Linked DNA regions of Caenorhabditis elegans. The protein of the gene in region 2 interacts with the protein of the main gene of each other region in a pairwise test. Each region holds a gene or a part of one and is shown on either strand. Other genes may lie near its edges.

Region 1 (4,669 bases), on a different chromosome or scaffold from region 2:
ATTATTGAAATTGTTGAAGCAAACTACCCGGAGACAATGGGACAGGTTCTAGTTGTTCGTGCACCTAGAGTATTTCCAGTACTTTGGACTCTAATTTCACCATTTATTGATGAGAAAACAAGAAAGGTAAGGTGGAACCGTCTAGAATAAAACTAATAATTATTTTATATTCAGAAGTTTATGGTCAGTGGTGGAAGCGGAGGTGATTTGAAAGAAGAACTCCGAAAACATATTGAAGAAAAGTTCATTCCTGACTTTTTGGGTGGATCCTGCCTCACAACAAATTGTGGACTTGGTGGACACGTTCCAAAATCGATGTACCTTCCAGTTGAAGAGCAAGAAGGTGCCAGCTCATCTGAAGATCCTCTTCATTCCACCTACACAAGTACTGCAACCTGGAGAGGATACCCAGTGGAAGTTGTCATTCCTATTGAGACAGCTGGCTGCGTGCTTACATGGGATTTCGATGTGCTTAAGAATGATTGTGAATTCAGTCTGTACTTTTCGACTGAGGTAAATCTACATTATTTATCATTCTCAATAATTAAACGTTTAAATTTTTCTAGAAAATCGAGCAACCAGCAGTCCGTGATGGAGCTCAATCACCAACAACCATTCTCAATCCAGTTGAGATGGTATCTGCAGCAATCGGAGGAGCATCTCATCAACATCCCGATCTTCAGTGTGCTCCTGAACTTAAAATTGGAACACCACAGCTACGTCTAGAGGAAAAGGCAGTTGTATTCCAGGAAGGAGATTCTATGCAGGTACTCTTAAAAAATATAAAAAATACATTTAAAAATGGTATTTTTTAGGGTTCCCACTATTGCTCACGAGCTGGTACATATATCATGCAATGGAGAGTCCCTGAAACTGCAGCCGGCCACTCATCAACCTTTGACTTTGGTTCTCACAAATGTCGTCTCATCTACTATTACGAGATTTTAAACTCTGAAAATTTCCGGTAAATTCTTTACACATTTATTACAGTTGATATTATGGAGACTCGAAATTTTGCGATTTTTGCGCTTAGAATACGGTAGCCGGTCTCGACACGACAATTTTGTTAAATACAAACGGGCGCGCCTTTAAATAGTACTGTATCTTGAAACTTTCGTTTCGGCGGAATTTAAGCAAAGAAAGTTTGAAATTACAGTACTCTTTCAAAGCGCACATTCTTTTTTATTTAGCAAAACACTTTCGCGTCGAGACCGGGCACCATATTCTAGGCACACAAATTCGCAAAATTTTTGCGTCTACATAAAACGTAAACTATCCATTACAGTAGCCTTATTAATGCAATTTGTTTTCAGAGGATCCGTTGCCTCCCTCGAATCTTGCCGTTCATCATCGTTCAGTTCAATTGCTCCACCAACGCCACCAACTCCAGGAACTCCCCGCAATCCATAAACATCATTTGTAAAATTCAAAATTTTATCCGACCCTACTCGTATTCTTGTGATTCGTTTTCCTTTCTTCTGTACTACTTCCCATTCTGTCTCTTCTTTTCTTCTGCTTTCAAACATGCAAACACCAAATTCCTTATTATTTCCTTTTTCTTCGTCTACAGTCCCAAACACGGTTTTTCTCATTGTCTCCATTTCTATCATATTCCTTCATTTTACTACTTTTTTGATGTAATTTATTATTAATTTCGAACTTTTCCTCTCTTAGTTCACTCTTCATCCATCAAATGCCGAGCAATTGAGTATAAAGAAGTTTTGTACAAGCCAAAACGAGTGAGGCAAAGGCAAAAGAACAATGATTTTCACACCCCAACACAAACATAATCTACACTCCAATATTATATATTGGACAAATAGCGCCCACTCCAAGAATGGAAATTGAGCTGGTATTATTTGTTAGTCGCTTTCGGTAGAATACCTCTACCACTTTTTGAATTCGCGCGCACCTTTTAAGTGGTTAATTTCTCTCTAATGCCACCTCCACCATTAATATCGCTTGATGTTGAAGGTGTATATTTTAAGACAAGGATAGCTACTTTGAAATCTATAGAAGGAACTTATTTTACTAAATTATTCGAAACTAATTGGAGGGAGCAGCTTGATAGAGTAAGTCTAAAAAAAAAGTTGTAACTTACAAAGTTTAAAGCATTTGGTAAATTGCCAAACTTCTTAGAATTTTAGAGCATTGCTGCAGGTCCCTAACCTCCTAGAATGTCCAAACACAAATGATTATTGCCATGTTGTTGAATTTTGTGATTACTGGCGCAAAAATACGGTGCCGGGTCTCGACACGAAACTTTGCAGCTACCGTACTCACAGGAACTTCGCAATTTGCTACGATTATTCATGATTTTTAATACAAAATCTTCAAATTTTGTTCCGGAAAACGCCTACTATCAAACAAAAAAAATCGTGGAAAATTGTGAAACACTTTCGGTTACTGTAGCTGTAAAGTTTCGATAGTTTTGAGACCAGGTACGGTATCCAAGCCTCAAAAATCGCAAAAATTCAAGAATGGGTAATAAGCATATACTGTCAATAAAAATATCATAATGCTAAATTTTGCGCTAACAGTACGGTACTTTGTCTCGGAGCGGCAATTTTTTTTAATTGAAAAGGGTGTGCGTCTTCAAAAAGTACTGTAATTTTATTACATTACTCTTTAAAGGCGCACATTCGTTTCGTATTGTCGAGACCTTTACGCTTGTCGAGACCAGGTACCGTATTTTTAGAATTAAAAACCGCATAAACTGCTCTGAACACATCAGTTATAAAATATATTAACACTCCATTAAATAGAATAAAACCTCATTTGGTCAACTAACCTTCCCCAAGATTCCCAATGCCTTGTGTTAAATACTCTGCGTATATGTCTACGTCATCAAACATCTGCAGGCCCATTGAATCATTCAAATAATTTTCCACCACCACCCGTTGCCATACTTTTCACCCGACACCACAACCACTAACACCATTCCCTTGACCTCCTCCTGGTGTGACGTAGCGCACTGTTCAAAAGCAATGACCAACTGGTTGTTGGGTGCCTGTGACGTCAATTTGTGACGTAGGCAAGAATGGGGGTTACGGTAGATTGGGAAAATTTGAATGCTTATTTCAGGATGGTAGACTCTTCATCGACCGTGATTCTTCAGTATTTCCGGTTATTCTCAACTTTCTAAGAGATCATGAGAAATGTTCATTGCCAAAAGACGAATATCAGCTTATGCGAATCTTACGTGAAGCGGTGTAAGTTCGGAACAAATCAGAATATTGCAAAAAGTATAAATCATTATAGATTTTTCAAAATTGGACCACTTCGAAACATGATAGAACATAAGCTGCGAACATTTTGTACTTGCCCACCTGAACTTCCATCAACTCCAATACCGAACCAAATCTTGACCCAAAAAGAAAATGTTCCGATTGTCCCACGTAATCTTCTTCTTTCGAAACCACCTCCACCTCCACCACCACCACTTCCGTCATTGATGCAGCCGAAGGATACTGTACAAATTCCGATGAGAAAACCTCCAACTGGCAGAAATTCCAAAAAAATTAAAACGTCTGCAGATTCGATTAGTCTTCCAAGGAACTTTACGTGAGATTTGGATATCTTTTATCTATTAATTACTTACAAAAGTTTATTTTCAGACATATTGCACATGTTGGTTGGAATGGTGCATCGGTACTTTTTGATAAGAAAATGACTGATGATCCGACTGTGAGGAAAATCTGTGATGCTGCTGCAGAGGCAGTTGATCTTAGTGTGAGTAACTTTCTTGAAAATTAGTAGAATATCTATAGAATTATAAAATTAAAATTCATTTATCTATTTTCAGGCGGTATACAATGTTGTCAACAAAAATGCGGATGAGGAGAGCCATAGCGTGGAAGTGCTCATAACTGGAGGATTAATGCAGTCAAGAGATGGAACATCTCGTCACTAACCATTTGAATATATCTGTGTCAAAATAAATTATTTATGTCATGTCTTGCATGCCAACAGATACGCGTTTTTCGAATTTTCGAAAATTCGCAATCACAGCTGGTGGTTTTTTATTGTCTGAATTGACCGACAGCAAATTTTAGTGATCTCTGACAAAACATCAGAAAATAAAAAACTACGCTTTTTTGTCCGCAGTTTGAAAATTTAAGGAAAAACTGAATATAAATATTATTTCATCGAAACATGTTTTTTTCTTTAAAAAATTACCGTACTCTTTCAAAGGCGCACGCATAAAGTTTTTAAATACAATATTTCGTGTCGAGACCATTACAGTAACCCGCGGCAAAATTGTGTTTTACAGCTTTTATTTTCGGGGTTTCTTCTGATCTTATGCATTTTTATGTGGTTTTATTTTGAATTTTACGTTTTTTTTTAAATTTCAGAGCAATGAAATGCGATTATCGGACTTGTCCTAAAGGGCGGAGCCATGGTTAGAGGCGGTGCTTGTGGTGCCGAAGGGTATAAATAGATTTTTTCCTCACACAGAAAACTAAACACATTTTTTGTTTAAATGAAATTCTTCAGCTGTGAATTAATATTTCATTTCAAACTGCCGTAGTTAGAAATGCTCAGGACCGTGGATTTTCGGTTTGAATTTCTAGGCCAATTTTGTGTGTTTCGACATTAGCTCACTTCTATCAGAAAACCATATTGAAGCCAGAATTCGTAGGAAAATATAATGTATTCTGTTTCACTG
Region 2 (4,868 bases):
GGAAAAGGTAAAATTATAATTTTTGGCCGTATCTAATCGTAGTTTGTTCTGTAAAACAAAACAACTTTTAAAATTATATATCACATTAAAAAAAAATTATAAATATAGGTGAACATCGTATGAAGATGATTCTGTGACTAAACACTTTTAGACGGTTTTGTATATTTCGCAACTAAAAAAAGTATAAATGTCATCTCAATCATTTTGTAGAAAATAATTTATGGGTAGTAAGCTGCAAATGATTAAAGTTTCCGAGAACTGCATATTTCCAAAGTAAGGGCATGAGCAAGTTCATTTTCAAATTTGACGCAAAATAATGGATCATGACAATTTTTTTTGGAACTTCATTAAAATGACATAAGGCTTGCTGTTTCTTCTGAACGTCATGGAAATATTTAAAGGGAACCCATTGGTACACAGTGTGAAACCAAAATAGTGCCCGGCTTCGAAAAACAGTTACAAAAATTATATAATATATAGCTAAAACTGCCTTCAAATGCAAGTCTTTTAACATTGAATTATAATAGAAAATTTACATTTGCCAAACTTTCTGAACTCGGTAAAGTTTTGAAGTTTGTTATTAAGTGTATCCAGTATTTTTTGGAAAAAGTCAAACCAGAAATATATTCAACAACCATGTTTTATTAATAGAAATTACTGTGTTCATAACATTTATGAATTTCTGAAAATTTTCCCTATTCCTTATTGTTGTGATCATTGTGATGTTTGCGCTCTTCAGTCTCCTTTTCATGATCATCGAGTGATTTTGGAGTGAATGCATATGGCAGAAGCTCGTATGTTGTAGTCTCGATAATTTGATCACTAGTCGAAGACCCGAGAATGACCTGAACAAGAAAAATGACATTTGAAACCGAAGACGTGGGTGGTCCAGAAAACAATTCATCTGGAAATAAACGAAACGAATAGTGGAAATGGAGTAGACTCTTGCAGGTTGAAGGGAAAACACTCATTATGACTTTTTCATTCGTATTTTTCCTCCATTTTTTACTTTGTTTTCAGAGAATATGCAAGGCTTTCTTCAAATATAATTGCTCACATAATTTTATAATAGCGAGCATAAATTTGAAAACTATGAAAAAAAGAATCAGCATAGTTTAGTTATGCATATTAAATTTTGTTATGCATATTAAATTTTGAAATATTTCTAACCAACCTTGTAGTCTCCAAATTCGATAAGGACCTGTCGGCATACTCCACATGGCGAGCAGGGAGCCTCTAGTTCGGTTGCTAAAAACATTAAAAATTTAGTTCAAATTTAGTTACGACGTTTAGCTGTTTTAAAGTTCAATTGTGTGATATTTAAAGAGTTCTGCCTCATATTGTGAATGTATCTTCCTACTGTGAAACAATTACAATTTTTCACTAAATGTATTTTTGATCAGCCTGGTATACAAAACTCTCTCTCTATTTTTTTTAAATCGCATTCTATTGTCGAGACTGGAACTTTGAAATGACTAAGTTTAAAAAAATTGATCGTTTCATGATTGACACTGTATTCGGAGAAGTTTCTTGTTCTTGAACTAAAAAATTTTCACGTGAAACCCTTCAAAAATTATATTTTGCTATTAATTTTAGTTTTTAATTTTTGAGTTAGTACATTCATATGAATTTAATTTTTTACAAACCCAGCAAACCATCAATTTTAGTTTTCATTATGTCTTTGATTTTTTTTTTATATAAAAATGAAGTCAGAACATTTACAAACAACCTTCATTTCGATTTGAAGTGCGTTTCAAATTTTCATCATGATGTATTATTTGTCTCAATTTATGCAACTATCGGGATTTCGGAAATATGAGTCTGTCTGTCTTCAAAATATGGAATTCCACCCACACTACATTTAAGAATGTCAACTTCAAATTGTAATTGAACATTTAAACTATTTTAAAATCTATTATTTTCGCAATAATATAACATAATTTTGATATTTGAGGTTTACTCAAAATATGATATACTGTTTTGGGATGTCATTTTCAAAATGAAAAAAGAAATAAGATATTTTTATTATTAGTGTCAGACAGATATTCTCAAAACAGGAGCTTTTTAAAACCCGTTTAAAATTGTTCATTACTCTTCAAAGTTCGTAAGATCATTTATGACATGAAGATGAGTAGGTGTACTATCAAGTTTCATTTTTAACAGAATTTGTAAATTCTGAGTTTCAATTTTCAACTGCGTATCTTATATAATGTAGTATGAATACTTTAAAAACGTTAGAACCTTTTTTTCAACTCACCAACAACAATGTACTTAAATTTTCTGTGTCCCTTGGTCAAGGCGGTAACTATTGCGCTTCTCTCTGCACAAATCGTTGCTCCGTATGACGCATTCTCATGGTTAGCTGAAAATACTCGAATGATTGTGAATAGTTAGTAATCGGATGTAAATGTTGCACTTTCAAGTTCTCACATTTACTAATGAATCAGACAAGGACGAAAATCATAGTCTCCACCCACCTCCTATGATAATTTCTCCGTCGTCACACACCAGCGCAGCTCCAACTTTGAAGTTGCTATACTTGCTAAAAATGTTTTTTGTAAAACATTTACCGTGCTTTTTTGAAATACCAGTAAGCATTCTCCATTGCTCCAATTGCTTTATCAACAAGTTGCTGCTCAAACTCGGTAAGGTTTGCCTTTGTTGTAGTCATTCTGTAAATTTTTTAAAACTTAAAACTATTGTTGAAAATTTTGGCTAAACTAAGAAAAAGAAGCTTGCAAACAGTAGATTCAATTCGCACGTGGTTAGTTAGGATGTGAAAACTAAATAAAGCAAATGAATCGGATAGTCAATATTTGCTCCAATTTTTCGTTGCATGGAGAACTTTGCTTTCTAACCGTCTTCGAAATTTGTACAAACTTCAACTTATGTTATAAAATATTCCATCCAAGGACAAATCAAAATAAGTATCAAGAACAGACGTAAAAATTAAAATTTTTAATTACATTTCCCCATTCACCATTCCTGTAAGAACTTTGCCTTTCTAAATGTACTGTGAATGGGGAAAGAGTGAGTATGTGGGGGTTTTTTATACATTTCCCGATGATTGATAACAGTGGGCCACGAGGAGTGATAATGATAAGAAATAAGGAATAGGATGGCAAACCCGCGTCGTTTTACGACTTGGTTCACTGACGTACGCCACATTCAGACGATTCTAGAAAATTCGGTCGAATTTATCATTTCATTTTCAACTGGTCCATTAAATTGAAAGTGATGTTCATGGGCTTTGTAGAAACTATGCATTGCCTACAAACTTCAGCCTTAACGATTACTATGAAAGTTTTGATAACGATTGGTGCCAATAGTGCTTCAATTTTAAACAATATATGGGATTATAAGAGTGATGAGAAATCTATTTGCAAAGATTCATTTGCAAGAGAATAGATAACAAAATGCGACAAACGAATTGCTCTTCGATATTCTATTTGAATAAAAATTAGCAATTTTTTTTAAACGGCCGTTTAAAAATAGTTTTTAATTTTTACAGTTGAAACTAAATTTTGAACTATGAATCATTTCAACAGTTTCTTCCATCACATTTACAAAAATTCCTCATTTGTGTCTCTAGAAATGCTAATAGCTGTTTCAAATGTTAATAAAAACTTCAAAGTATTTCAAATATGATTTCACTACTTTTAGAAAAATTCATATTTTGAACCACAAATGCTCTTCTTAAAACCAGCCGAAATAAATAAAACCTTTTAAGAAATGTATCTCAAGCATCTTTATAAGAACAAAGAATATGTGTATATAAGGGAGTATTTCTTGAAAGACAAAAGTGACAAAACAACTCATTGATGTGGCGGTTCTGGCATTTTTTGTTGACTGAAATTGTTTTTCTTCACAATTAATGTGATTCATACACTGTACACTGAGCGAAAAACTGACTTTATTTATGTTTACTTTATACTGCTTCACTAACTGAACTTCCTCAAAATATAACTACTGAACTTCCTCAAAAATATTTTTAAAAAATCCCTATATCTCGTTTATATTTGACGACTACTGCGGTGGAATAGCTCAGCATCTTATTTTGAACAATTGCCTAATTCAAAGTATGCCTATCAACTTTTTTTTTGTTTTTAAAACATATTTTAAAAGTCCAATAGCGATTCTCAGAGTATTCTCAGAATGATTTTGAACTCAAATGTCTTGTGAATTGTTTGCAGCAAAAATGTGCGGGTAACCGAAAATAGCTTGAAATCCACTCACGAGACTCTCTTTTTTTGAACTTTGCTATCATCACACAAGTGTGTGATCTTTTAAATCATGTAACAGACAATGCCTACATTTCAAGAGACCAAACTTTTTTGATCATTTGCCTCATTATATACAAGAAAAGTTGTCAGCTTTTGTCAATTCCAAAAGTAATGGTGGGTGGAAACATCAAGCAACTATATTATGTATTGCTACTTTGTCTGATCAGCTATAGAATACATCTGCAATACAAGAACTCTCTGTGGGTAAAGATCTAGGATAAAAATGACAATGAATTCCAAATACCGAAGTTTTTTTTGCTGACAACTCTTATCATATTCTTAAGTATATCAAATTCTGAAGACAAAATGAGCTTTTAAAATATTATTTTAGTACATTAAATTTTAGATTGAATTCTTGTGGTTTGTAAAAAAATAGAAGAAGTTCTTCGCAGGATTTAAAAACAACTTTTTAAAATTTATGATAATCGAATAATGGTTACTCAATCGAAACGCGAACTTACGTTTTTACGTTTACGAACGTTTTTTTTTGGCTTATTGCTAAGAAAACAGCCAGCCCTCTACAGGAAACTGAACGAAACGGCTCATCATTTGTTTTAATTGATATAATATACGGCTACTACATAA

The links.
Region 1: the proteins of cdd-1 (region 2) and T23G5.3 interact in a two-hybrid assay, tested with the Caenorhabditis elegans proteins (one large-scale study listed by BioGRID).

The regions. Positions count from the first base shown.
Region 1 is NC_003281.10:9,228,479-9,233,147, reverse strand, and holds T23G5.3 (uncharacterized protein), read left to right. Parts: upstream 1-1,874; 5' UTR 1,875-1,937; coding exon 1,938-2,072; intron 2,073-3,084; coding exon 3,085-3,212; intron 3,213-3,261; coding exon 3,262-3,564; intron 3,565-3,617; coding exon 3,618-3,732; intron 3,733-3,805; coding exon 3,806-3,913; 3' UTR 3,914-4,146; downstream 4,147-4,669. Other genes in the region: CRAL-TRIO domain-containing protein T23G5.2, read left to right, coding at 1-126, 175-513, 567-767, 816-964, 1,314-1,410.
Region 2 is NC_003284.9:8,208,125-8,212,992, forward strand, and holds cdd-1 (Cytidine deaminase), read right to left. Parts: upstream 3,026-4,868; 5' UTR 2,672-3,025; coding exon 2,589-2,671; intron 2,543-2,588; coding exon 2,478-2,542; intron 2,363-2,477; coding exon 2,258-2,362; intron 1,249-2,257; coding exon 1,175-1,248; intron 846-1,174; coding exon 696-845; 3' UTR 624-695; downstream 1-623.